4 linked regions of the Caenorhabditis elegans genome follow. The protein of the gene in region 1 purifies or fractionates together with the protein of each later gene. This does not show direct contact. Each region holds a gene or a part of one and is shown on either strand. Other genes may lie near its edges. The genes, in order: rfp-1, hsr-9, B0395.3 and usp-3.

Region 1 (6,004 bases):
TGATGATATAGTGGTGCATATCCTGCTGCTGCAGATGGATCATAGTGATTTGATGAAGCAGATGATGAGGCATGTACAGAAGTTACGGGACGTGACGGCGTTAGATAAGCAGTGTGATTTGGAGGCTGAAAATGTAATGCAATATTTTAAAACACGTTTTACAAGATAATTTATTTAAACTTTATAAAACTTACTAGTTGCACGAGGTTTTGTTGTTCCTGCTCTTTTATCTTATGTTCCGCTATTTTAACGGACTCCTTCAATACAGCACGTCGGGTGAACATCAGAACATCCTGAAAAATGTTTCATAACGCGTTATAATACGAGGTTGCAATCAAGTCCTGATGACTACGCCTGATATTGTTTGTTGAAGAATTAGTCGCATCTTTTTTTGAAAGCATTCTATATTCTCACCCTGATGTATATTGACTTGGTTAGAAGAACATCAACAGATCTGGAGTCTGCGAAAGTTATAATGCAGAAGTGAAGCGGCCCTTCTGAATCCTGCAACAATAAAAATTAACATGAAATAAACATACAAATAATTAAAAACTTACACTGACAAATTCTACATCTGTGATTTTTCCGTAGGCTCCAAAATTCATTTTCAGTTCTTTTGAAGTTAATCTGTCTAGTGGAAAATAAGAAACAAAAAGTCGTTTTGATTCTACTTTCAACTTCTTATCATTTTCATCTTTTGCTGGCTCAACAGTGCATTTGGCTCGATCGATTTCATGAATATCTGATTTCATGCAATTTGAATATCCGTTCGAATCAACGAAAGTGATGTAGGCGTAGCCTGCGCTAGTCTTTCTCGGCTCTTTGATAAATGCTTCACCTTCTCCAATTTTTTCTGGAACTCGGCATTTTTACTTTTTTCAAAAGCTTTCGAACTTACGTACTCATGTAACTCTCAAAATCGCCGTGTTTTTCAACATCGTATCGTTCGACATCGAGCTCGTCATCTAATACATCATCATTTTCCACAGGCTCATATCGAATCGATGATCGTGTTGAAATTTTCTCCTCGTCTGGTCCATTGTCGAATACCTATAAAATGAAAATAATGACATTTTCTATCAGAACAAGAGTTTCTGTACCGAATATCTAGGAGGAGGAGGTAGAATGCACTCGTATAAAGTTCCAAATTGTTCAAAATATTTTTTAACTGTCGATTCCGTTGTATAGCTATCCAATCCTTGCACAAAAATCCTTTTTACCATTGTTATTTGGACGAAAGACCGAAATTTGAGGAGAAAAAAACGAATTAAGAATTCGAAAGTCCCGCAAGTCTCGTAAATGCTGTTCGGTCGTAAATCTACCCCATTTCCGTCTCTTGACCGTAGTCACACACTCTCTCACTCAGGTCTCGCAACGAAAAGAGTGCCATTTGAAATGTCTCTTTGGAAATCTTTTTGTAATCACCTTTTTTGCACTCCAAAAACAATAAAATTGTCATCAAATCTGTTCAAAAACATTGATTAAGTATCCGTTAATATGTTTAAAATCTTTTCCTTGTTTTCCCTGCTTTCTACCATCTCTTTAACATTTTGTATACAATATTAGAAACGTATTGATTTCAGGTATGATGAAAAGAAGTAATGAAGGTATAGGAGGAGAAAATTATGCAAGTAGCCCGAGTGACGATGGACAACAAAAACGACGCAAAATTCAATTCGAACCGGTCCGAATGCCCGCTGTTAGCAACGTGGTATGTCTTTCATTTAAAATCGAGGATACTATTAATAATCCCTAACGATTTCAGAACGATATAAGAGCTCGTGCCGTAGTTTATCAGACATCTAAATTAAAGCAGCAATTGTTGTACAAAAATAAGCGAATAGCCGAATTGGAAAAAGAAAATGAACGGTCCAAGAGGCGGCAGCAGACAGACGAAAGCAACTTTCTGAAGGTTTATAATATGTTCTCAGATGTACGTTTTTACTTATTTTCAGATTGCAATTAGTTATTTTCTTTTTCAGATTGAGAAATACATATGTACACAAACTAAGAATGAGTTTGGAGAATACATCGGAGGAGACACTGCACCAACTGGTATAGACGTTCTTGGAATGACTAATGAAACATATAACAAGTTCTTTGATCAGGCAAAGCAGAATTTGTGAGTTTTAAATTATTAAAATTCACTCTTAATTTACATATTTCTATAGACGGAATGCATTCGTATCGTATGCTAAAGCGCGCCACGATCGGGCTCACGAATCCACCATTTTCATCGATAAACTAAAAACATTGATCGATTCTCCTACCTTCAATCCAAATGGTGTCCATAAGGAGCTTACAGCCAAAGCAGCAAGTTTAGCTATACAAAATGAAAAGCTTCAATCCGAAGTTACCAAAGTTCAAAGCGATTGTTACAATTTGGAACGGAAAAAGCGTATTCTAACGGATAAGCTTTCTGTACAAGAGAACAGAGTTCAAGAATTAGAACATCAATTGGAAGATGCCCGATTTGAAACTGACAAACATATGCGTCTTGCTAACAAATTTGAGTACAAACTAGCCACCCTCGTCTCGGAGGGACAGTCTGGAGGGAACGGAGGGGCGACACCGTCTTCGTCGGGTACAACAAATGCTACTGAGAAGAAGATATCAGCTCCAGATATTCCACCAAGTGAAACAGCTGCAAAAGAAGTGAGATTTAAAAATTTTTTATCAATCGAAATGAATAACGCATTTTTAAAAAATAATTTCAGATCGAAAATCTGCGTCTTGAACGAGATGAACAGGAATCCATTGCATCACGACGCCTTCAAGATCTCGAGGAGATGAATAAAAAAGTTCAAACATTAACACAGGAAAATAGCAAGCTAAGACTAGAGGTACCGTTTTGACTATATATTAATTTTTATCCATTACAAAAATATGAAATTTTTACCCGAATTTCTTCTATTACCTCTGAAATAGTTGCAGACACAAACTTTCTTCTCTGTGGATTCAATTGTCAACTCGGAGGAATACAAGAATCTTAAAAAGTACTACTCATTAGCAATTAAAGAATACGAGCGAGTCAGCAAAGATCTTGAAGATATCACAACAGAACGTGATGCTTTCCGCAGTGCAAAGGAAGCTCGTGCAATGCTAATGTCTGAAGAACATCAGAAGACGCTGAAGGAAATTCAATGTCAATCGGATATTCACAATTCTTTCTACAAAGTATCTCATGACAGTGAAGTTCTACGCTGCGAATTCGAAACTGTTAAGGAAGAATATAATAAGACGGTGAAGCAAAGCGAGTGGGATGAAATGAAAGCAACTTTGAATACTCTACGATCTATGAATAGATCGTTAAAATCAGAGAAAATTCGTTTGCGCGAAAAGGATAAGCAATCTCAAAAAGATATCAACACTCTCAAGTCTGAGTTAACTTCACTGAAAGAAGCCCAGGATAAATGTCTACTTGTTCCTCTTGAAGACGTTAGTAATGCTCCACCGGAAGATGTTAATAAAATTCGTCAAGAATACGAATCTTTGTGTAAAGAAGTAAAACGACTGGGAGCAATGGAAAAACAGGAGAAGCAGAAACAAGTCGAAGTAAGTCATTGTACCTTATTTGACAAAAATGTGTTTTCAAAGTACACGTCCTTTCGTTATTTGGTACTTTCAGTAAACTCTAAAACATTATTTCTGCGTCTGTTCATATCTCTACAATCCCGTGTGAGAATTTACAGAAAGAAGTCAATCGTCAAATTGCTGATAAATTGTCCGAATTGGAGACTCTTCGTAAGACCAATGAAATGCTGACTAATGACGAAGAATGCATATCTGATGAGTTAGAAGCCATTGGAACAGCTGTAGAAGAAGAACAAGAACGGAATGCTCAACTGTACATTGAGAAGCGGGAACAGGAGGATCGAAATCTGAAAATGATGAATGATCGAATGATTCAGAATCAGACATTTAATCGATTGCGTGAAAAATTGTCTTGTTTGGAAAGTAAAGCACAAACAGATGCTCAAATAGCAAAAATGCACGAATTTGAGAAGAAAGCAAATGAAGAGTTGGTAACTAAACTGTCGGAATCAGTTCAGTTCAAATCTGCCGAATTAACGTTAGTTTTGAATGTTAAGAAATCCATAAATTAAAATATCATTTTTTAGACGTCTCACAAACTTGATGGAACAACATAGAAAGAACATTCAAGAAGTTGGAATGTCACGAGACGAAAACCAAATTAAAGCGGATCGATGTGAAGGTCAAATGAAGCAAATTCAAGAATTATACGCTGCCAAGGCACGTGAAATCGAAGATTTTAAATTCAAGAGACAACGTGCTGAAGAGGAACTTGAGACGCTTCGAATTAAATATGAACGAGTAAAACGAAATGAGTCTGTACCGGCTCAAAGTGGTGATCAAGTCCTCGAGGAAGCGAATCGACAAATGAAAGAAACACTGACTTGTCCATCATGTAAAACGAGGCCAAAGGATTGTATTATGCTCAAATGCTATCATTTATTCTGTGAAACTTGCATTAAGACTATGTTAGTTTCATTTTTCAAACACTAAAATTGGTTGGTTTGACCTAGACGCAAAAATTTTCAATTTTTAATTAAAAAAAATGTATCGACACGCGTCTTTAGAGAGTACTGTAATTTCAAACTCTTGATGCTACGAAATTTTCATCAATTTTTCATAGTTTCTCGATAAAAAATGTCAACTGAATATGAAATTTAAAAAAAACCCGAATTTTAACAAATTGTGAGAATTTGGTATTACAATACCTATTTCTCACAATCTTTTAACTAATAAAAAAGTGCAACTAGTTATGAAAATTCCGCTAAAACAAAAGTCTGAGACTACAGTACTCTTTGAAGACGCACACCTTTTCCCATTTAACAAAACATTTTGTCGTGTATTTTCAGCTTGAAATTTCGCGTCGGAGTAAAACGAAAAATACATATTCAAGCGATATCTCGCATTTCTAGCTTATGATTCAAAAAATTCCAGGTACGACACTCGTCAACGGAAATGCCCGAAATGCAACAGCAACTTCGGAGCCAATGACTTCCATCGTATTTTCATCTAGAACCGCCATTAAATTATTTAGTAAATTTCCTCATTTTCTCAATCTCTCAGTTCAACATGGGTTTCTGTCCTCCGTTTTCTCTGTTTTGGTCCCTTCCCCTCCCCCCACCTCTCACAGCGCAATTTCTAAGCTTCTATCTTAAACTGTCTCATCCTATCAAGTTATTGAATCACTATCTCTATAGTTAGTCGGCTTATATTATTTGAATTCTGTTCTGATACTCTGAATCTCCGTGATGATGCCACGGCACGCACACATCCACAAGTTTATGAACTTTGTTGAAGTTGATATTGATATAATTTTGAAGTTGTAAATTCTTATGTTTTTTCTCATTTTATTAAAAATGTATAGTAATAGTTATTCTTGTTTCAAAAATTATGCATGATGATAATATATCAAAGTTCTGAATGTTGACTAGATTCTGTTGGTGCTCCACCTCCTTGCATAAATGGGCAACCACCACCACCACCCTCTGTAATTGGTGGATGACGAGAGAATGGCTGAAAATTCAAGAGATTTTATTTGACTGGAAACAAAACTTTTACTTACATCGGAATCCAGGAAAAGTGTGTGATCTGGAAGAACAAGAGTCTCCTCGAATCCGAATACTTCGTTCACTTTTTCAACTTGAAGATATCTTAATGGATGTGGCTCTTTTGTTGAGAGAACTTCTGTAATTTCGGTCTCGGCACGATGAATTCTTTGTTAAATTCAACAAAAATCACGAAACTTCGCGTATGGCTAAGTATCTGGAAAAACTCACGATCCGCTTCAGATGTAATAATCATCTGGAGAATTTTCTGAAGATGATCAGGGCATTTAGGCTTTGAAATTGGAATTCGATGCACTCGATCCTTGTTCAAAAACACAATTATTGATTCGTTCTCCCCAACTCCCAATGCTTTTTTGGTTTTCTTAATCATCTCACTTTCCCCATCAATTTTTGTGAAAATATAG
Region 2 (7,099 bases), on another chromosome or scaffold:
AAAGCATGTTATTTAAACAAGAGGAAAAATAGTTGTTTTATACAAAGAATCGAATAAAACTGTTTATTTTATATTTTTTCGCTCAGAAAGCGGAATTTGTGGCTGTCGTTATTTCCGAACAATGTATTAAATGTTTTTTTTTTAAATTTTATTGATGGGCCTTTATTGATGGGAAGTAGAAATCAAAAGTTCGAATATTTCAAGCGATATTTTTTTTTATAATTCATGATGTTGAGTACACTCAAAATAAGAAAACTGCGTGGCGTGTACTGCAGAAAACCTCATATTTAGGCCCCGCCTTTTCTCCGTGAGTGGACAAGAAAAAGGCGGGGCCTAAATATGAGGTTTTCTGCAGTACACGCCACGCAGTTTTATTATTTTGAGTGTAGTTTTCCCGTTTCTCAATTATTAATTTAAAGAGCTCAATTGGGAATGCATTAAATTTCAGAGAAAACGAACTGTTTGAAATATTGTTAATTGTTTGAAACTAATGCTGCCAAATCAAGAAAATTGACAACGTTATTGGTACAGTTCATTTTTTCATTTCAGAATAAGCAACAAAAGGTGTTCATATGAATGTACTGTAGGTTAGTAAAACACTATGTTAGGTTACTCTTTGATGCAAAAAGGAATAGTTAAAAAGTTCTCAGAAGCTTTCGAATAAATTATAATAAATACGTTGCAGAAGTAACTGGGAAAGGAATGATGATCGTGATTTAAAAAAGATGGAAGAGCTTCAAAACAGGGGCTTAGAAAATGCAGTTCTATAATAATAAATTGGGAAGAGCTCAAAAATTCACAAAAAATGGTTAATGAATACGCATACAATGTCACCGCTTGTTGACCAGCACACTGAGCGGGTAAATTTTCGAGTAAGAGATCGACGATATTTCAGCGGATGGAGCACGGTAGGGAAAGTAGAATAGTTATTTAAAAAGTTGATATAAAAACGTAGTGTACAAAATGAGAAGGGAAATGGGGAAAGGGGGTGAGATGAGATGATATTCAATGACGCGTGCGGTGATGCAGACGGTATGGATCGAATTTTGGATGAGCATTTGGCTCAGGAGCTTTGCCAAGAATTATTGTCTGAAAAATGTATAACAATTAAACGACGAGGAAAACGGAATCTCACTTGGATAACCCATTCGGAAGTGACTCTACTTGCTCCAATAGTATCTGCATACTCCATGACTTCGTCACGGAAAGTTCCATCAACTAAAACAACGTCAAATTTGAGACCTGTTTCGTCAAGAGTTTCCCAGTCTCCGTCGACTACATCAGCACCGAGAAGCTCAAGAATAGGTTTCCAAATCTCGATGAAAGTTCCTCCGGGTCCAGTTTGTGTTACTTCACGAGCTGAGTGAGTTGAGTGTACATAAATTGTTGTTCCTTTCAAAAGCTCTGATGGATTTTTGGGCCTTAAATGTTTTCGATGATCAGAATTTTCAGAATCGTTATAAAAATCAAAAATCTAACGGAATTGAAATCATTCATCATGAAAGTTCACTTACGCTGGCATATCCTGAGACTCGTCAAAAATTGAAGCACCTGCAGGAAGAACATAGTCCGTATAGTCGACACATTTCCCCTGTTCACCACATGCTTGTAACCATGTATTGTTAACACAAGGAACACCACGAGCTAAAGCTGCCAAGTACTTGTGAGTACGATAGTACGTATCAGAAATCAGCAATGGTTCGTAGTTGGAGTAACGCTCTTGGAAGCTCTTAAAATAAAATGATTAGAATGTTATTTGTAAGACGTTATCTTACATTAAGCTGCTCCGTGACGATCCCACCATTCTGAGTAATGAAGTTCATCAGATTCTTCTTTTTGAACATTGAAGGAACACTCGCAGAATTTGAACGATTGGCCGAAGTTAGCATGAAGACCTTTCCGGTGAAAATGTTCTTTCCAATAGCTTCCTCGTTCATTGGCAAAAGCTTTTCTTCTTCTTCAGCCGGACTTGCTGATCCTCCTCTAGAGGAAACTAGATCAACTCCCTTCTTCTTACGACCTTTTGGTTTTGCTTGATTAGAAACTGTAGTTGGCTTACGAGCACGAGTAGCCTCCGATATTGTAGTAATATTAGACGTAACAATAGCCGTAGCACTTTGATCTTTGCTTTTAACATAGTCTCGCCATTCTGAATGATCGAAAGAAACATCATACCAATCAACAACCTTCACTTCGTCAGTTGGTTCCCCATCTTCATCCATGATCGATATGGTTAATTTTCCTTTTTTCCATTCCGCAGCACTAATATCGTTAGGACCAGAATCCAATCGAACATCGGATTCGTTGTAGACTGCAGTTTTGCCAGGGGATAAAGCGCGAAGTGGAATGATTCCAGAATTTGGAACATCTTTAATGACGTTATCAACCGTGAATTGTACCTTGTATCTTCCGAGACCATCACGCTCCGAAAGAACGACAGCGGGATAAAACATCTTCTGAAACACAGCGTAGACTCGAGCTCCAGGAGCATGAGGTTCATTATCGTCTTGTGGATGATCAACTAGTAGTTGATCCTCATCAGATAGATTTTTAAGAGGAATAACTGGTTCTTTTTTCGCCGGAGGTGTTTTGATGTCAGAAGCTTCACTTTTTCTCTTTCTTCCACGATTTGACGAAGCTGGGGTAGCAGTTGCAGGCGCATCTTCCATTTCAATATCATTTTCGTGATGTTCTTCCTCCTTTTTAGCTCTTGATCTTCTTCCCGAAGTTCCTACAGACGATACTCTATGCTTCATCTTATCTTTACCAGGAGTCATATCAGCAAGAGAACGCCGATTCTTAGCAGCAGGAGAAGCTGAAAGCATAGATATTCTTAATTTCAAGAAACTACAAAACAACTTACATTGTAACTCAGCAATTCTAGACTCTGCCGCCTTCTCTGTCATAGAATACTTTGACTCTGAATTACCCAATTTGGCATACTTGACAGCACCAAAATTGTGCACTTCCATCTGAAAACAAGCAAAATTACAGATAAACATTAATTTTTAATTCTCACGTGAATATTCTTCAAAGGTTCTGGATGATGCTCCATTTCAGTATCAAGATCATATGGATCATATTCTGCACTTTTCTTGCTCGATGAAGGCGCACTTTTAGCTGCTCCACGACCTTTCTTTTGTGGTAGAGTTTCTTCAATAGTCTCATCAGCTTCTTCGATAGGGTCTTCTGTGATAGAACCTTGCTTCTTTCTTCCACGAACTGTCGTTCGTTTATTTGTCACAGCCGGCGTCACCGGAGCAGATTTTGCAGGAGGCTTAGCCCTTGTAGATCTACGAGATGATGTTGGAGTTTCGACTTTCTCAGCTTCTACACTTTCCATAGTTTCAGCATCAGCATTAGAACGCCTTCCTCGCGGAGTTCGGGTGGACTTCGCTTGGTTTGTATCGTGAGTTTTTGTAGGGTCTTCGGTTTCTTTTTCTTGCAAGTTTTCCTCATTTGCTTGCGACTTTCTTCCTCTTCCTCTTGTGGACCGCGGTGTTGGCACTGCAGACGAAGTTGCTGAAGAAGATGCAGCTGAACGTCTTCCACGCCCCTGTTTCGGAGTTTCTTCTTCAGTTGGATGTTCCGTGTTTTCAACTTCCTCGGTGACAGATGTGTCTTCTGTTGCAACAGAGCGTCTTGATCTTCCCTTGCGCGGTGATGTTTCTTCAACGCCAGAGTCGCCAACAACATTCTCCGTAGGATCAATTACTTCATCTCTGTCTCCACCCCTGGAAGATCGACCACGCCTGGGGGTGCTGTTACTAACAATGGGCGTTTTCGTTTCATCTGCATTCACTTCCGATTTTTGCCCACGACCACCACGGCGTGGAGTGTTTGACGAAGGAGTAGACGAAACAGTTGCTGAAACTCTTTTAGCGCGACGAGTGCTGCGGCTAGAAGATTGAGATTCTTGGTTCTCTTCATTTGCTTCTGATTCTCCATCTGGCGATTTTGAATCGAGACCAATTTTTTGAGAATCATCAACACTGTCTTGTGAAATCTCACCAACGCCTGGTTCAGACGCCTTGTCATCATTAACATTCTCAATAGGTTCACCACTATCTGCTTGCTCTTTCACTGGACTTTCTACTTCAACCTCATTTTCGGGTTCCTCTGTATCGTCCTCATTCTCTGGTTCTTCTTTCTCGTCGCTCACACTACCTCCTTTTGGAGAATCATCTTCATGCAGATCGTCGTCATCTGACGTTGACACTGCCTTCTTCAATATTAATTGATTAAAATTAGGTTTTTCGAATTATCAACAAACCTTAGTTTTCTTTTTTGGAGCTTCGTCTTCGTCGTCTTCTTGCACATCATCAATATCTTCTTCATCTTCATCTCCAACCACCTTTTCTTCATTTTCTTCAGGTTTCTCGGTATCATTTGAAACAGAAATCGATTCAGCAATGTCTAATTTATCGTCACTAGTATCCATCGAGATAATTTTTTTCTCGAAAGTTTCTCCCTCTCCTTCTTCAATTGGTGATTCAGACTTTTCCGAGTCGTTCATGCTTTCTCCAGATTTAGCATCCTTACCGGCTGAACATTGTGGCTCATCTTCTGCCTTTTCTTTATCAAGTGCAGTAACATCGGCAGCTACATCTGGCTCGTCTTCCGCTTCTATGATAACTGATGACTTGGTAATGACACTCGAATCGACTATGTGCCCATCAGGAGTTGAATCTCTAGCTGGGGTCTAAGTAAGCAAATTTTAGATTAATACAAACACACTGGACTTACAGAAATCACAGCAGAGTTCCCAAAAAGACTCCTACTTTTATCCAGAACTGAAGTTGTTGTGGGGAGGCTGAAATAGTGGGATAAATATGTATGGATACTCGAAAAGCAGGTAACCTTGTCTGTGTGACGGTGGAGTCGTCTTCTTCGAATTCTGAAAACAGAAAATAAAAGGAAAACTTCACGTAAGTTAAGTTTAATTTTTAGAGTCGATATTCACTTCGAGTGACCACCTTAATTTCAATAAGGTTGAATTTTATATGCTTGACCCGCAAAAATATTAATTAACCTTTCACATTCTTATTATATCGAAAAAATTACCCATAGTGTTCGAAGACGATGCCATTTTCCTCCAAGCAGTTCAGTTCTTCAAGTCTATGCTGTAACATATGTGTTTAATTTTGCCATTTTAAGCGTAAAAGTGTCTGCGAAACAAAAAGTTACGACGTCAAAAAAAATCGTTTGAAAATTCAATTCAAACGCCCGCCCCCGCTGTTCAAAAAATGTACTGAGTGTCGCCCGGTGCGTTGCGGTCGCGTGCCGAGTCGCTACGCAGCCAATTGGTATGCAGGTTATGTCTTACGATCAGCGGTGAAGAATTTTTTCGTTTCTTTTCCTACAGGTTTTTTCAATTTTTTGACGCGATTTTCACGGTTTTTCGAGTTTCTATGTATTGATTGGGAGGAAATATGTTACGTTTACAGTTTTCTTAAATAATATCCACTTTCTGAAGCGCTTGTTGTTAAGAATAGTTTTTTTGGCAGTGGGTTTTCTTTCCGTCTTCTAATATACGATTTTTTCAAAGCTATACTTTTCCTTTTCAGGTAAAATGACGAGAGCGACCTCCATCAAGGACGTCGACCAGCACGAGGCTACCAAGTCCATCGCTCACTTCTTGAAGAAGAGTGGAAAGGTTAAGGTTCCAGAGTGGTCCGATCTTGTTAAGCTCGGAGTCAACAAGGAGCTTGCCCCAGTCGATCCAGATTGGTTCTACACCCGTGCTGCCAGTCTTGCTCGTCACTTGTATTTCCGCCCCGCCGGTAACTTTTTATTGACAAAATCATTACTTATTTTTCTATTTAGGAATCGGAGCCTTCAAGAAGGTCTACGGAGGAAACAAGAGACGTGGTGTTGCACCAAACCATTTCCAAACCTCAGCTGGAAACTGCCTCAGAAAGGCTGTTCAGCAACTCGAGAAGATCAAGTGGGTTGAGAAGCACCCAGACGGCAAAGGAAGAATTCTCTCCAAGCAGGTGAGTATTCTATTTTATTATCTAAAAATATAAAATTCGAACTTTTTTGTAAAAATAAATTATTAAAAATTATTCATAAATATATGCGCTGAAAATTAAACATGCAAAATTAGATGTTTATATTAAAATTAAATTTCTGCATGTTTTCTTTTTTGAATTTTCTCGAAATTTTCAACATCGTACTAAAACTAAATTTTGCAGGGACGCAAGGATCTTGACAGAATCGCCACCAGCCTCAGATCCTCTGGACAACAAGCCTAAACACTCGTTGTTTGTGTTATAAATGTTGTTGTTATAAAAAACTTCATGATACATCTCCATTAACAAGAAAGTAAGATGATGGCGCAAATTATGAATCAGAAAAAAAAGTTATTAAAGAAAAACTTCGCCCGAAACGTTTGAATATATACACCTGTATAGTTCTCACTTTTTTGAATAGTGAAATAATCAGTCTACAAAATATTATACGTCTTTAGTGGACCTTAGAACAAAGCTACAGAACTTGAATACAATCATTAATATATCTACTTGCTCTTCCGAAATCAAATTTGAAACATTATTAGCAGAAACTAACTTCCTATTCTGATACCCAAATTATTTCGCTAAACATCGCGAAAGGCATTTCTGATAAAGAAAATAAAATACAGGGTTAAGCTATTTATGGTTTCACAAACTTGCGATCAATTGGAAGTCGGAAAAATTTTAAAGATTAGTTATCATACAACGATAGATACAATTTTTAAATGAATGTTGGTGGACATTTATTTAGATGTAGAAAAGCGGAATCTAGCAAGTTCGCATGCGAACTTCTCGTTGTGAATTGCCGTGAACAAAATGTTCTTCTTATCTTGGGAAATCTGGAGCAATGCACACGCACCTCCGTGCCAAACAGTCCTACCCGGAGTAGATGATACCTCGCCATTCGATGAAGTTCCTGATACACCCGAACCAGATCGGTCTAAAAATTCAACTTTTAACTAGAAATAATTATCTAGAAATAAACCTCGAGATTGAGTCTCATCACTTGAGTTTTGTTTACTGTGCTGCCCTGAGGACATGTTTTTGGATTCGGCGTTCGTCGGAGTAACTCCTGCTTCTTCTAT
Region 3 (6,537 bases), on another chromosome or scaffold:
ACATGTTAAAACCACTAAAATACAACCATCTTTCAGGAACCGGAATGTTCATTGCTTTCTACGGCCAAGAATGGTACGCGAGACGTGGACACTGTGCCCCGTACTCCAATGCCGTTGTGGACCTTTTGTTCCCGAGACATTGGAATTGTCACCCACCAACTTCATGAAATCTCTAATTATTTGTCACACGGGGTATTCGTTTTTTTTTTTTGTATTTTGTTGATTTTATTTGAGAATTATTTTTTAAACTGTACAAAAGTTTTGTCACTAGTTTTTACAGAAAAAATAAATATTAGTTACTTGATAGAAGTTGGTTCATTGTAAAATATGCTTATTTGTACCAAAAATCTTTTGATCGGTCTGCTAGATAAATGCACACAATTTTTATGGCAGGAATAGCATATTTTAAACTATCGATTTTAGCAAAACAATTCTGAAATCAATCACATTTTTTCTCTATTTCTTGGCTATCACCCCAATATTAGATGTTTTGTAGATTTATCGTGGATATTTGTGATACACCTCTGACGGAAACGTATTTATTATACAAATTATTTATTCATATAAAATGTTTTCATAAAATATCTACAAGCATTTTCAATCAATTACAATAAAGCAGAAAAAAAAACATTGGGATCTGAACACGTAGGAGCACTAGTTATGGCGTGTGAAATGTTATTCTTTAAAAAAAAGTAGTATCAAAATATGATCTCCTACAACTTGGACATTTCTTTTGTAGCCTTATTAATAACCGATTTCATGTCAATTAGCGCCTTTTGAAGTTCCTTGGCAAACTTCTTGGAACTCGTCGAGCCGTAGCTCTTGAATGTTGAGATCATAAAGTGAAGTTCAGTTTCCTGTGGGTTGTAGCAAATTCCATAGCAATCAAGGGCAGATGGTCCGAAGCACATTTGGATGAAATGCCGTGTGGGAACTTGACTTGTGGAGACTTGGAAATGGTTGAGTTGTTGGTAGATGTTGGAACCGAAGATTTCTGGGGTTGGGAGATTATTTTCAGTAGCGATCAACTTCCATGCCAATAAATGTCTGTCCATTCCAGCTGCATCCATACAATCCATGGTGTACTTTTTATGCGAATTTGTTGCGTGAACAAGTGCATCGTAGATTTCACTAACCGGCGTAGGAGGCTTAGATACCATCTGAAAATTGAGTGAGTTAAATTGGGTGATCGATCTAGGTCACACACAAACACACACCTTCTTGACAAATGATGCTGCAGCTGTATTCGGAGATCGGATGTTCTCGGTTCGACCCTCGGTGAATTTACGCAAAGTGGCCGTCTCGTAGGTTGGTGGAACTGGAAATTTAATTCGTCATCAAATTGTAAGATGGGGGATAATTGACTTACGCGATGAGTGGATCCGGTAGAAAGCTAATTGGTAAGCCATTTGGATGAACGAGTCGGGCGAGATCTTTGAGGATTTCGGGAAATTCTTTCCGTAGGGCTTGAACGTGAACGCGACGATATCAAGGTCCTCGGCGATGCTGTCCATGTTCTTGGAGCTCTTGGCGATTCTTTTGTTGATTTCCTCGTCAGTGGAAATATCGAGACGTTGCACTGGGGAGTTGGAAGGTGTGCCTTCAGTAATGAATGTGTTAGCATCACTGAAAAATTGAAGGAAATATAATAGATATATTATCTTAAATGTTACTAACTGAAGATATCCAAGCTACCAGAATACTTTTTGCAACATTTTAAATAAACTTGTTTGATGAAGCGTAGGATCAGAAATATTTATATTGCTATGGTTAAAGGTGGAGTAGCGCCAGTGGGAATTTGGTCTGAATACACTTATTATGATCCAACACGACAGAATATCATAATAAAACACTCCAAACATTTTTCGATTTTTCATAATTTCCGGCCGAAGTTTTGGCAAACTGCCAATATTTTGAAAAACGACACATGCAATGTTTTAAGACAAATTATTTAAACAGAACTACAGTATAAAAAAATGTAGGAAAAATTTTTTTTTTGGTCGACTTCCAAAATTATATGTGGAAAAACTGAGTAACTGTCACTGTTTGACAGTAAATAAAAAAATTTTAAAAAACTTTTGAAAGGATTTATTATGATATTCGGTCATTTTGGCACCATGTGTAGGAGTAGTTTTTCACAAGTTCCCCACTGGCGCTACTCCACCTAAAGTGCCACAGTTCCGGTTTTTGACCCAACGATAAAACGAAAAAGACAACATTTTAAATTTCTGTTCAAATTCAAGTTTTTCAACAAATTTTTTTGTAATCAGTTATAAATTTCAAAAACTCACAATTGATCACAAATAAAATCCATGAGTGCACCGACTGGTGGTCCTTCGGCTGGAGTGTGCTCATACGTCATTCCGGTGTAGCCATTTGTTCCGATGACAAACTGAAATTTCCAGGTATATTTTTTGCTATTGCAATGCAAATGTGCTCTACTGATCAAATGCAAAAAAATGAGTGCATGAACGATAAACACGTGGTGTAAGAGTGTCTCATGTCGGCTTGATCTACAAAGATCTACAAAAAATGCGGGAGAAGAGACGCAGAGTTCTCAACTGATTTCGTCTGGTTAAGAACGTGTTGACGTATAATTTTTATGGGCAAAAAATTCCCGCATTTTTTGTAGATCAAACCGTAATGGGACAGCCTGACACGCCGTGGATAAACTAAATAACACACCTGAATAGTCTTGTCAAACCATCTGTTGCTCGAGTTCACTTTGGAGCCGCCACCATGCAGTGCCTGCCTACTTTGCTCATCTTTCTCCGTGTAGCCAACTGGTGGTTCACTAGCTTTGTCAAGACAGACTACGAACAACGATTTTTCGACGGCTTCCAGGGATTTCGCGTTGTTGTTATCCTCTGAAAATAGTATTATTATCAGCATAGCTAGCTTCAAAGAAAATCTTCACAATGGAGCTAAGCAAAACTTCTACATTTGGCTTGAAACTTTTTTTCTCGAAAGCTCACTTTTCAGCGATGAGTATACATTTGCCCATTTGTCGCGACTATCGGAGGAGACAATTCCCACTGGATGTGGGTTTGGAGTTTGACTCTCTGAAACGACTTTTGCCAGTTGCTGAGTAATAGCAAAAATTGAGAGTGGCTGCTCGTTGGAGTCTAGGACTTGGACGCGGAAGAGCTGAAAATGTAGGGAGATTTTAACGGTTTTGTTGAAATCTGTTTGCAATATTTTTTTCAACTTCAATTAGATGGAACAACTGAAGTCTTATGGGGTTATTCAAGAAGTGTCGAAAAATTAAAAAGTGTAGAAAAATTAGGTGCAAACTATATTAAAATACATTTTTTGAAAACTTGTATTTTAATACAGTTGTGACGTAATAAATGTATTTAAATACATTTTGCAACATTAATTGAATAACCTCATTAGTCTTTATAAAGAATCAGTGATACAATTTTTAAATAACATTTTTTAAAAACTCACATGTCCATTTCTAATCACTAAAATGTGTTGCAATTTCTCCTTATAGTCACATCCATATCTAATCTCATCTACGCCAACCTTAGGTACCCTAGTTGTTCCAAACAAGAACTGGTACTGGCTCATATCAAGCGGCGACTTTCCTGCCATATCAGGCTTCAACTGATTACTGAAAAAATGTTTTTTGAAAACTAAAAAACATCGAATTGAACCAGAAGCCTACTTTTTTGCTCGAAGGTAAAAGTGGACAGCGGCTTGGCTGATTTTTGCTGCATATTCCAGTTGTCCCTCCTCGGTGTTATAGTCAAATTTAGGGAACATGACTCCTGGAGATGTGACGACTGGAAGTGGGGTACGAGCAGCTAGGTAGGCGATGTTGAGCCACCATGGTGTGAGCTGAAAATCTTTTGTTTGAATCGGTAAAAAAACGCCAACTTGCTCAATTTTAAGATAGTTAGTTTTTAGATATATTATAAAACCATGTGTTAAATTTGGAAATCTATTTTTATGGCGCTGGCCCTGTCACTTTTTCAGCAACATTTTGATTTCATTTTGATGTTTTCAATTTATAGGCTGGCGGATTATTTTGTGGACCAATTTCCAAGAAATTGTTTGTTTTGCAAAGAAAAAATTATTTAATATAAACGCCCAACATTATGCCTAATACCTGATAGGTATTACTTATGCCGTTAAATATTTTCAAAATATTGTAAAGTTTTCTAGTATCAAACTTTTTAAAATTAGGTTTAGGGTACACTTAAAGGTGTCATTGGTTTGCAGTAAAGCTAAACCTATAAAGTTAATTGATACATTTCTATTTTTTTGGTCCAAACTGAAAATTAACTACTCCTAATCATAAATGGGGAAGTTGTTTTGAATTTATTTTTCTAATTATTTTTTTTAGAAAAAAGTGTTAAAAATCTTACCCAATTCGGAAGTGCGTCGGCTCGTTTCTGCAGCAGTTCTTGCAATTTCGGCAAATCCTTAACCACAAAATCATTTACAATCTGAAATTGACATTTGTTTTGCTCCAAATGTTTTTTTTTATTTTTACCTGTTTTGTCTCTTGAAATTCCTTTTTTGACTGCAACGCTTGTGCAAAGTCCAGGAAGTGTTTCAGCGTTTTAATTGGTTGTGGAGCCGGGAGTTTTGGTAGGTCTGAAACGTCATCAATGTATTTACAATCGAAAAAAAGGTTTAGTCTCACCTGTTGAATTATAACGGGCTGCACCGTGACCTCCGGCCATTGCGTTGACACTGTGCTTCATTAGTTGCTGCAAAATGAATTTTGAATGCTCAAAATTTTGAGGGAACAGGTAATCCCTCACAAAACGCTGCGAAAAGTTACTATAGTGATAAGTGAAAGACGTTTTGTGGGGGAAGACCCGGGTGGGGGAATGTTATCAATGATCATTCAGACTACACTACGCCGTAGTCCAAATTTTATATGGTCATTTTGGTCAGCATTTAATATTTTTGGGGAGAAACTCACGGAGATCTGTGGTCGAATCATTGTTTGACATTTCAGCATTTTTTCGACGGGTTTTGTTACTCAAATTGATGAATATAATGTAAGCTTGTATGAAAGAAAGAGAATGTAAAAGGGAATGCACCATGTTGGTTCAATGCAATTTTTTTTTAATTTAGCGTAAATAATAGAAGAGTGATCTGTTAACCAAAAAAATTTGTTGTATGTTAATTGAAAATTGTTTTGAAAAATTTTCAAAAAATAAATGAAGTCTCACAAAAAAATTCGTTTTTTTTTTGGCATCTGGCAATTTTATAACAACTTTTTGCATTTTCTCACATGTTTAAATTTAAATAATTTTTTTTTAATATTTTGGAACTAAATTTTAGTTAAAGAATAGCGCCTGTGGGGATTTGATCTACATACACTTGTCAAAAACAACCGAATATCATAATAGAACACTCAAAAAAATTTAAAAATTTAAAATTTTTCATAATTTCAAATTGCCAAAACTTTAAAAAATATGAGCAATGTCATATGTTCCAACCCTTACAATGTTTTAATACGATCAATTAAAACAAAATTAAAGTAAAAAAAATATAAGAAAACATTTTTTTTGGTCGACTTTTAAAATTATGAGTGGCAAAACTGAGTAATTGTCACTTTTTGACAGTAAATAAAAAAATTTCAAAATTTTTTTTGAAAAGTTTTATTTTTTTTATTCGGTCATTTTTAGCACTATGTGAGTAGTTTTCAAAAATATCTATACTATATCTTTATTTTTCTTTGGAAAATTTAAAACTTAAAAAACATTTTTAAAAAGTAACAAAACAAAAAAAATAATTTGTTGATTTTCAGAGTGTAAAAGTGTTCCAAATGTTTGGGGCGTAAGATCAAAGTGTTTAGAAAACGAGTGACGGCGGGTGAATGGCAGGGGTCATATGGGAAGAGAGGAGTGTGTGTGTGTGTGTGTGTGTGTGGTGATGTAGGGGGCACAAACAGAAAGACCAGGCGGAACGCAGAAAACACAGGCAGCGAAAACAGAAGAAACCGAGTAGTTGTGTTGTGTCCAAAGAGTGGGGGGGGGGGGGGGAGGAAATGGAGGCAAGTTAAGTTCTCTCCTACCACACAAAAACCCCGCGTGGTATCCACAAAGAGGCCGAGAAATGGAGGAAGAAAACAACGATGTGTAGCCAAATGGTGTGAGTTAATGAGAAGAGGTCATTGGATTTGGATGGCAGCCAGTAATTGGATTGTGTAGTGAAAGTGTTAATTTTTCTGTTTGACATTTTTTAAGACACAACTTATGGAAATTACAAGTTGAACCAAACGTTTTAATATTATTTCAGAAAACTAATGGAGTTTCATTATTAAAACTTTTTTTTTCAATTTCTGATGAAACAAATTTTAAAAAAATCGCCTAAGCATAAATATTTGCAATTTGCTTCTCAAATTCATAATTAGCGGAAATATAATGTTATTCGAATGTTTCCCCATCATTGTTTTTATTCCAAATAAAAAATTTTAGCAACATTTTGTCTTTGGAGTATTTTTTTTTTAAATTGAATACTTTTTGAAAGCAACTTGGATCCCCGAAAATTTGGAAATCTATCAATTGCAAC
Region 4 (4,873 bases), on another chromosome or scaffold:
ACAAAAATGGACGACTCCCGTTTAGATGGAACGACTCTTTATAAAAAGGTCACACGAGAGACGCCTTCGGTTGAGTCATACAACTATCAGCCAAGCAAAGAACCGAAAAGCTTTGAAAGCTGCGAAGCCTGCTATCCGCCCCGCAGGCGAAGAACGGATCGACCAAGTACCCTGAGTGGCGTGCCAGGACTCGGAGTAAGCATTCAAAAAAATTAACAACGACAAATGGGTGCAAATATAATTGGTGAGACGAATGGAGTGAACAACAAAAAAAAAAGATTTAAGTTTAACAACAATTTCATTAGGAAACAATAACGAGCAGCAGTATTTACTTCTTGCTGGTCTTCTTGACCTCGGACTCGGAGTGATGGGAAGCCGAAGAGCGTCTGCGGGCGATCTTGGCGTCGTGCTCTTCCTTGGAGTACTTGGCGAGGAGCTTGTGGTAGGCAGCGGCGTCATCGCGCATCTTGATCTTCTGGTTGCGCTTCTGGCGGAGAAGGTACTTCTTTCTGGCGATACGAGCTGGGGTGATGAGACGCTGGATCTTTGGTGCGATGGTCTTGGTGACTCCTGGAAATTTAGACAGTTAAAAACTAAATTTAAAGAGAATATTGAAGAAACTCACCATCTGGGAAGGTCTTGTCGTGGGTGATGACGTATTTGGTGACATCGTCGTGCTTGGTCAAGTTGAAGAGCTTGCGGATCTTGGAGGCTCTCTTTGGTCCGAGCTTGCGTGGGAGAACGGAGTCGGTGAGTCCTTCGATCTCTCCATCTCCCTTCTTCACGATGACGAGGGAAAGAGCGGACATGTTGGCGTCGACGATGCATCCACGGACGGACTTTCTCTTGCGCTCTCCGTTCTTGCGCTCACGGTAGCAGGATTGTCCCTTCTTCAAGAGAAGACGAACACGTCCGTTGGTGAGAATTCCTTGCTTCATTGGGAATCCCTGCTTGTCGTTTCCTCCTCCGATTCTGACGACATATCCCTGGAAAAAAGCAACTCGTTTGAAAGAGCCGAGAATCGGTTCAAAAACAAAAACTGGGACTCTCAATGTATGTCTAGTCACAGCCATTTCAGCGAAGAAAAAGCACGTGAAACAATGAGGATTTGACACAGAAACATCACTTCGTTTCTGTGTTTTTGGGTGACTCGCTAACCTTCCACTCGTCACCGAGAGCATCGATGGCGACCTCCTGGGACATGCGCTTCTCGAAGAAGAGGCGAAGCTTCTTCTCCTCATCGACCTCGAACGACTTTTGGAGCCCGGTGGCTGGGTAGGCGAAGTTAAGTCTCATCGCTCAAATATTATTACCTGCAAGAAGAAAAACATTGGAAATGAGTTAACGGGGTGAGAAAAGGAGAAACTGAAGCGAAAAACGAAAACATGGGCCTAAAACTAATAAATTTGATTTTCCAAGCAAATATCCTGCGAAATGTGGAGGAAAACTATCAGGAAAACATTTAAAATTTTGAAAATTCGAAAAAAAAACCGAAAAGTTCGCCTAAAAATGAGAAATTCACCCAAAAATTCGAGGGAAAAATGAAAAAAGGAGCGAAAACTTTTTAGGCCAACGACAATTCCAGTTTAAAGGCGCACGCCCTTCGTGGCGAGACCCATCCCCCATCCGCCTCGTCGTCTGCTGCACCCCACCTTTCCCACACTATCTCGTCCGATGGATTTTATTTTTTTCCAAACTTTTCCGATTTTCCGACTCGATTTTCGGTTTTTCTTCGATTTCCGCCGAAAATTTGCTGTTTTTCTTGATTATCGATTTTTTATCCGCGTTTTAAGTGCCAAAACTTTGCTCTCACACTCAAATTGACTGATTTTCGAATTTTTTCAGATGCTTTGCACCCATATAAAGGCGGAAGATTGTGTGGAGCGTGTGCCCAAGGGGATGTTCCGCAAGAAACAGGACATGGAGGACAATAATTTGTTCTTGGAGGGAAATTCGAATCGTGGGAAGGTGGTGAAGTGAGTTTTTTTGAGAAATTTGGCTAGAAAATGGCTAAAAAAAGCTAAAAATAGCTTTAAAAACTCGTTTTTCTTCCAGAAACCAGGAAATAATTAAAACCTTCTGCGACGAATGCGATAATTGCAATAAATCGCTGATGTGCCTCACTTGCGGACGAATTCTGTGCGGAAGAAACGACTCGGGCCACGCTTTGCATCATTTTGAAGAAACCAGCCACCCAGTCGTCATTGATTGCATTTCTTTCGAGCTTTACTGCTATTCCTGTGATGATGAAGTGTCACTGGACTTTGAGCCATCTTTATATGGAGTTCTAAAATCGCTGAAGCTCCTTTTCGACCGGGAAGACGTTATGGAGGGAGGCGACGGGCCGACTATACCGGCACAGCCTTTTCAGTGCGTATTTTTCGAGGAAAATGGACTAAAAATTGGTTAAAAACCGATATTTTATCGATAAACCCTGCTAGAAATCGAATTTTCCACTGAAAAACGTTACAGTTCTCGTAAAAATCGTATTTCCCATGAAAAGTCCGATAAATTGCGATTTTCAGTGAAAAAAACGCCAATTTTCCTCAGAAATTCCATTTTTCTCTCTGGAATTTCTGAAAATTTTGATTTTTCAGTCAAAAACGTTCGTTTTCTCATAAAAATTTATTTTTCTTAAAAAAAAAAATGAAAATCCTAATTTTCATCGAAGAAACTTTAATTTTCCATTGGGAAATCATTTTTTCCGCAAAAACTTGAACAGAACCCTATTTTCCTCACGAGAATCACTAAAATTCCGATTTTCAGGTGAAAAAACATCAAAAAATCGTATTTCGCCCTAAGAATCCGAAAAATTCCGATTTTTCGGCAGAAACTCATCAATTTCTGCGATAAAATTCATTTTTCCCACTAAAAAGCCCCTAAATTGTGATTTTTCAGGGGAAAAAACATCAAAAATCCATTTTTCCTCCTAAAAAGCCAAAAAAATCCGATCTTTCAGCACAAAAAACTTCAAAATCCGTTTTTGCACCTAAACAGCCCAAAAATTCCGAATTTTTCAACGTTAACACTTTAAATTTATTTTAGAAAATCAGTTTTCACAATGAAAAAGCCCAAAACTTCCGATTTTTCAGCACAAAAAACATCAAAAAATTCATTTAGCCCACGAAAAATCCGATTTTTCCGTCAAAAACCTCATATTTTTACTAATTTTTCAATGAAAAACCTCCATTTTCTAGAGCAAAATCACATTTTTCTAAAAATATTCAAAAATTCCGATTTTTCAGCCCAAAAAACATCAAATATCCATTTTTCCCACTAAAAATCCACAAAAATTCCTATTTTCAGTAGAAAAATCAATTTTTTCCACTATAAATGTTCAAAAATGCGCGGTTTTTCAATAGAAAAACGTAACAATAACTCAATTTCCCACTTAAAAGCTCCCAAACGTTGATTTTTCAGCGTTAAATCTTCAAATTTAATTCAGAAAATCAGTTTTTCAACCAAAAAGCCCCAAAATTCCCATTTTTCAGCAGCACAAAAACATTAAAAAATCCAATTTTCCATATAAAAACTTCCGTTTTCTAGAGCAAAATCACACTTTTCCACCTAAAAATATTCAAAAATTCCGATTTTTCAGCCCAAAAAACATCAAATATCCATTTTTCCACCTAAAAAGCCAAAAAATTCCGATTTTCCACTCAAAAATCCTCAATTTTCTTTCAGAACAGTGACCTCAGTCGCCTCAACATTCACCCAAAAGCTCCACGTGGCTCCAGCTTCTCGAAATTCGAAGAAAAAACGTGGAAAAAAGGGAAAAGTCAGTCCAATGTTCGTCGATACACCACCATTCCAGCAGCAGCAGGGAGCCGCCGTAATTCATGACGTCACACTATCATCCACAAATTCTACGTCATCGGGGTCCGGCGGTGCCACGTCATCATCTGAAATTGCCTATAGGCCACGTGGAATGCGAAATGTTGGAAATACGTGCTTTATGAATGCCGTTTTACAAGCATTAGCGTACGTTTTTCACCTCGAAAGTGTGAAAAATTGGCTTTTTTGAGCCGAAATACATGAAAATCGGCCATTTTTGACCCTGAAAATGCGAAATTCATGCGCGAAAATCGGGTGTTTTCCGCCCCTTGAGAGTGAAAAATTGGTGAAAAACGCGATTTTTGACCCTAAAAATTGAGAATTTCATCGAAAATGAGCAGAAATTGTGATTTTTCCGTGAAAATTGTTAGGAAAACGCAAAAATTAGTTTATATTTTGCGTTTTTTAGTTGAAAATTGCAAAATTCTGCAGAAAACCACGGAAAACTCGTGAATTGTGCGTTTTCCGGTCTTAAAATTTAAAAAAAAAACCCGAAAAATGCGTAAAATTTCCTGTTTTAACGTCAAAAATTTTTCTTTTTTAAGCATTAGCGTACGTTTTTCACCTGGAAAGTGTGAAAAATTGGTGAAAAACGCGATTTTTGACCCAAAAAATCGGGAAAATCATCGAAAATTAGCCGAAATTGTGATTTTCACGTGAAAAATGCAGTTTTCTAGCAGTGAAAGGCTATTTTTCATGGAAAATGCCTCATTTTTTCAATAAAAATCGTAAATTTTACGTTTTTAACGCTAAAAATGCGTAAAATTCACCTTTTGAGGTTCAAAAATCCATTTTTTTTTGGCAATTTTTTCTGAAAATTGTATTTTTATAGCGAAAATTGCGTAAATTTCAACTAAAAATTTGAATTTTTGCCCTAAAAATGATATAAAATGTGTGATTTCACAGAAAAATGCCGATTTTTAATCCAAATACCGATTTTCATGGAAAATTTAACTTTTTCACCTAAAAAATGTCGTTTCTGCAGGTTTTGTTACAAAAATCCTATTTTAATTTCAATTTTTGTTGAAAAATTCAATTT

What was found.
Region 2: the proteins of rfp-1 (region 1) and hsr-9 fractionate together in Caenorhabditis elegans (co-fractionation; one large-scale study listed by BioGRID). This does not show direct contact.
Region 3: the proteins of rfp-1 (region 1) and B0395.3 fractionate together in Caenorhabditis elegans (co-fractionation; one large-scale study listed by BioGRID). This does not show direct contact.
Region 4: the proteins of rfp-1 (region 1) and usp-3 fractionate together in Caenorhabditis elegans (co-fractionation; one large-scale study listed by BioGRID). This does not show direct contact.

Annotation. Positions count from the first base shown.
Region 1 is NC_003281.10:8,357,042-8,363,045, forward strand, and holds rfp-1 (E3 ubiquitin-protein ligase bre-1), read left to right. Parts: upstream 1-1,580; 5' UTR 1,581-1,585; coding exon 1,586-1,711; intron 1,712-1,765; coding exon 1,766-1,933; intron 1,934-1,982; coding exon 1,983-2,122; intron 2,123-2,171; coding exon 2,172-2,655; intron 2,656-2,717; coding exon 2,718-2,843; intron 2,844-2,934; coding exon 2,935-3,555; intron 3,556-3,683; coding exon 3,684-4,072; intron 4,073-4,121; coding exon 4,122-4,502; intron 4,503-4,968; coding exon 4,969-5,047; 3' UTR 5,048-5,442; downstream 5,443-6,004. Other genes in the region: Putative RNA-binding protein R05D3.8, read right to left, coding at 1-125, 195-293, 415-504, 558-853, 903-1,050, 1,101-1,223; R05D3.9 (uncharacterized protein), read right to left, coding at 5,443-5,547, 5,597-5,718, 5,811-6,004. UniProt on the Caenorhabditis elegans protein: E3 ubiquitin-protein ligase that mediates monoubiquitination of 'Lys-117' of histone H2B. H2B 'Lys-117' ubiquitination gives a specific tag for epigenetic transcriptional activation and is also prerequisite for histone H3 'Lys-4' and 'Lys-79' methylation.
Region 2 is NC_003279.8:9,624,265-9,631,363, reverse strand, and holds hsr-9 (Protein hsr-9), read right to left. Parts: upstream 5,124-7,099; 5' UTR 5,090-5,123; coding exon 5,065-5,089; intron 4,898-5,064; coding exon 4,861-4,897; intron 4,814-4,860; coding exon 4,747-4,813; intron 4,703-4,746; coding exon 4,274-4,702; intron 4,226-4,273; coding exon 3,020-4,225; intron 2,973-3,019; coding exon 2,864-2,972; intron 2,816-2,863; coding exon 1,776-2,815; intron 1,730-1,775; coding exon 1,515-1,729; intron 1,422-1,514; coding exon 1,136-1,421; intron 1,090-1,135; coding exon 1,006-1,089; 3' UTR 516-1,005; downstream 1-515. Other genes in the region: rps-19 (Small ribosomal subunit protein eS19), read left to right, coding at 5,573-5,783, 5,827-5,996, 6,198-6,257; T05F1.2 (F-box associated domain-containing protein), read right to left, coding at 6,758-6,954, 7,000-7,099. UniProt on the Caenorhabditis elegans protein: May have a role in DNA double-strand break repair following gamma-irradiation.
Region 3 is NC_003284.9:16,034,511-16,041,047, forward strand, and holds B0395.3 (Choline/carnitine acyltransferase domain-containing protein), read right to left. Parts: upstream 4,722-6,537; 5' UTR 4,716-4,721; coding exon 4,655-4,715; intron 4,606-4,654; coding exon 4,502-4,605; intron 4,455-4,501; coding exon 4,374-4,454; intron 3,844-4,373; coding exon 3,671-3,843; intron 3,617-3,670; coding exon 3,451-3,616; intron 3,148-3,450; coding exon 2,976-3,147; intron 2,868-2,975; coding exon 2,686-2,867; intron 2,393-2,685; coding exon 2,292-2,392; intron 1,627-2,291; coding exon 1,370-1,626; intron 1,319-1,369; coding exon 1,218-1,318; intron 1,161-1,217; coding exon 714-1,160; 3' UTR 526-713; downstream 1-525. Other genes in the region: mboa-1 (O-acyltransferase), read left to right, coding at 37-167.
Region 4 is NC_003279.8:13,948,601-13,953,473, reverse strand, and holds the start of usp-3 (Ubiquitin carboxyl-terminal hydrolase), read left to right. Parts: upstream 1-1,843; 5' UTR 1,844-1,845; coding exon 1,846-1,976; intron 1,977-2,055; coding exon 2,056-2,370; intron 2,371-3,684; coding exon 3,685-3,981; intron 3,982-4,873. Other genes in the region: rps-6 (Small ribosomal subunit protein eS6), read right to left, coding at 329-570, 626-986, 1,159-1,296.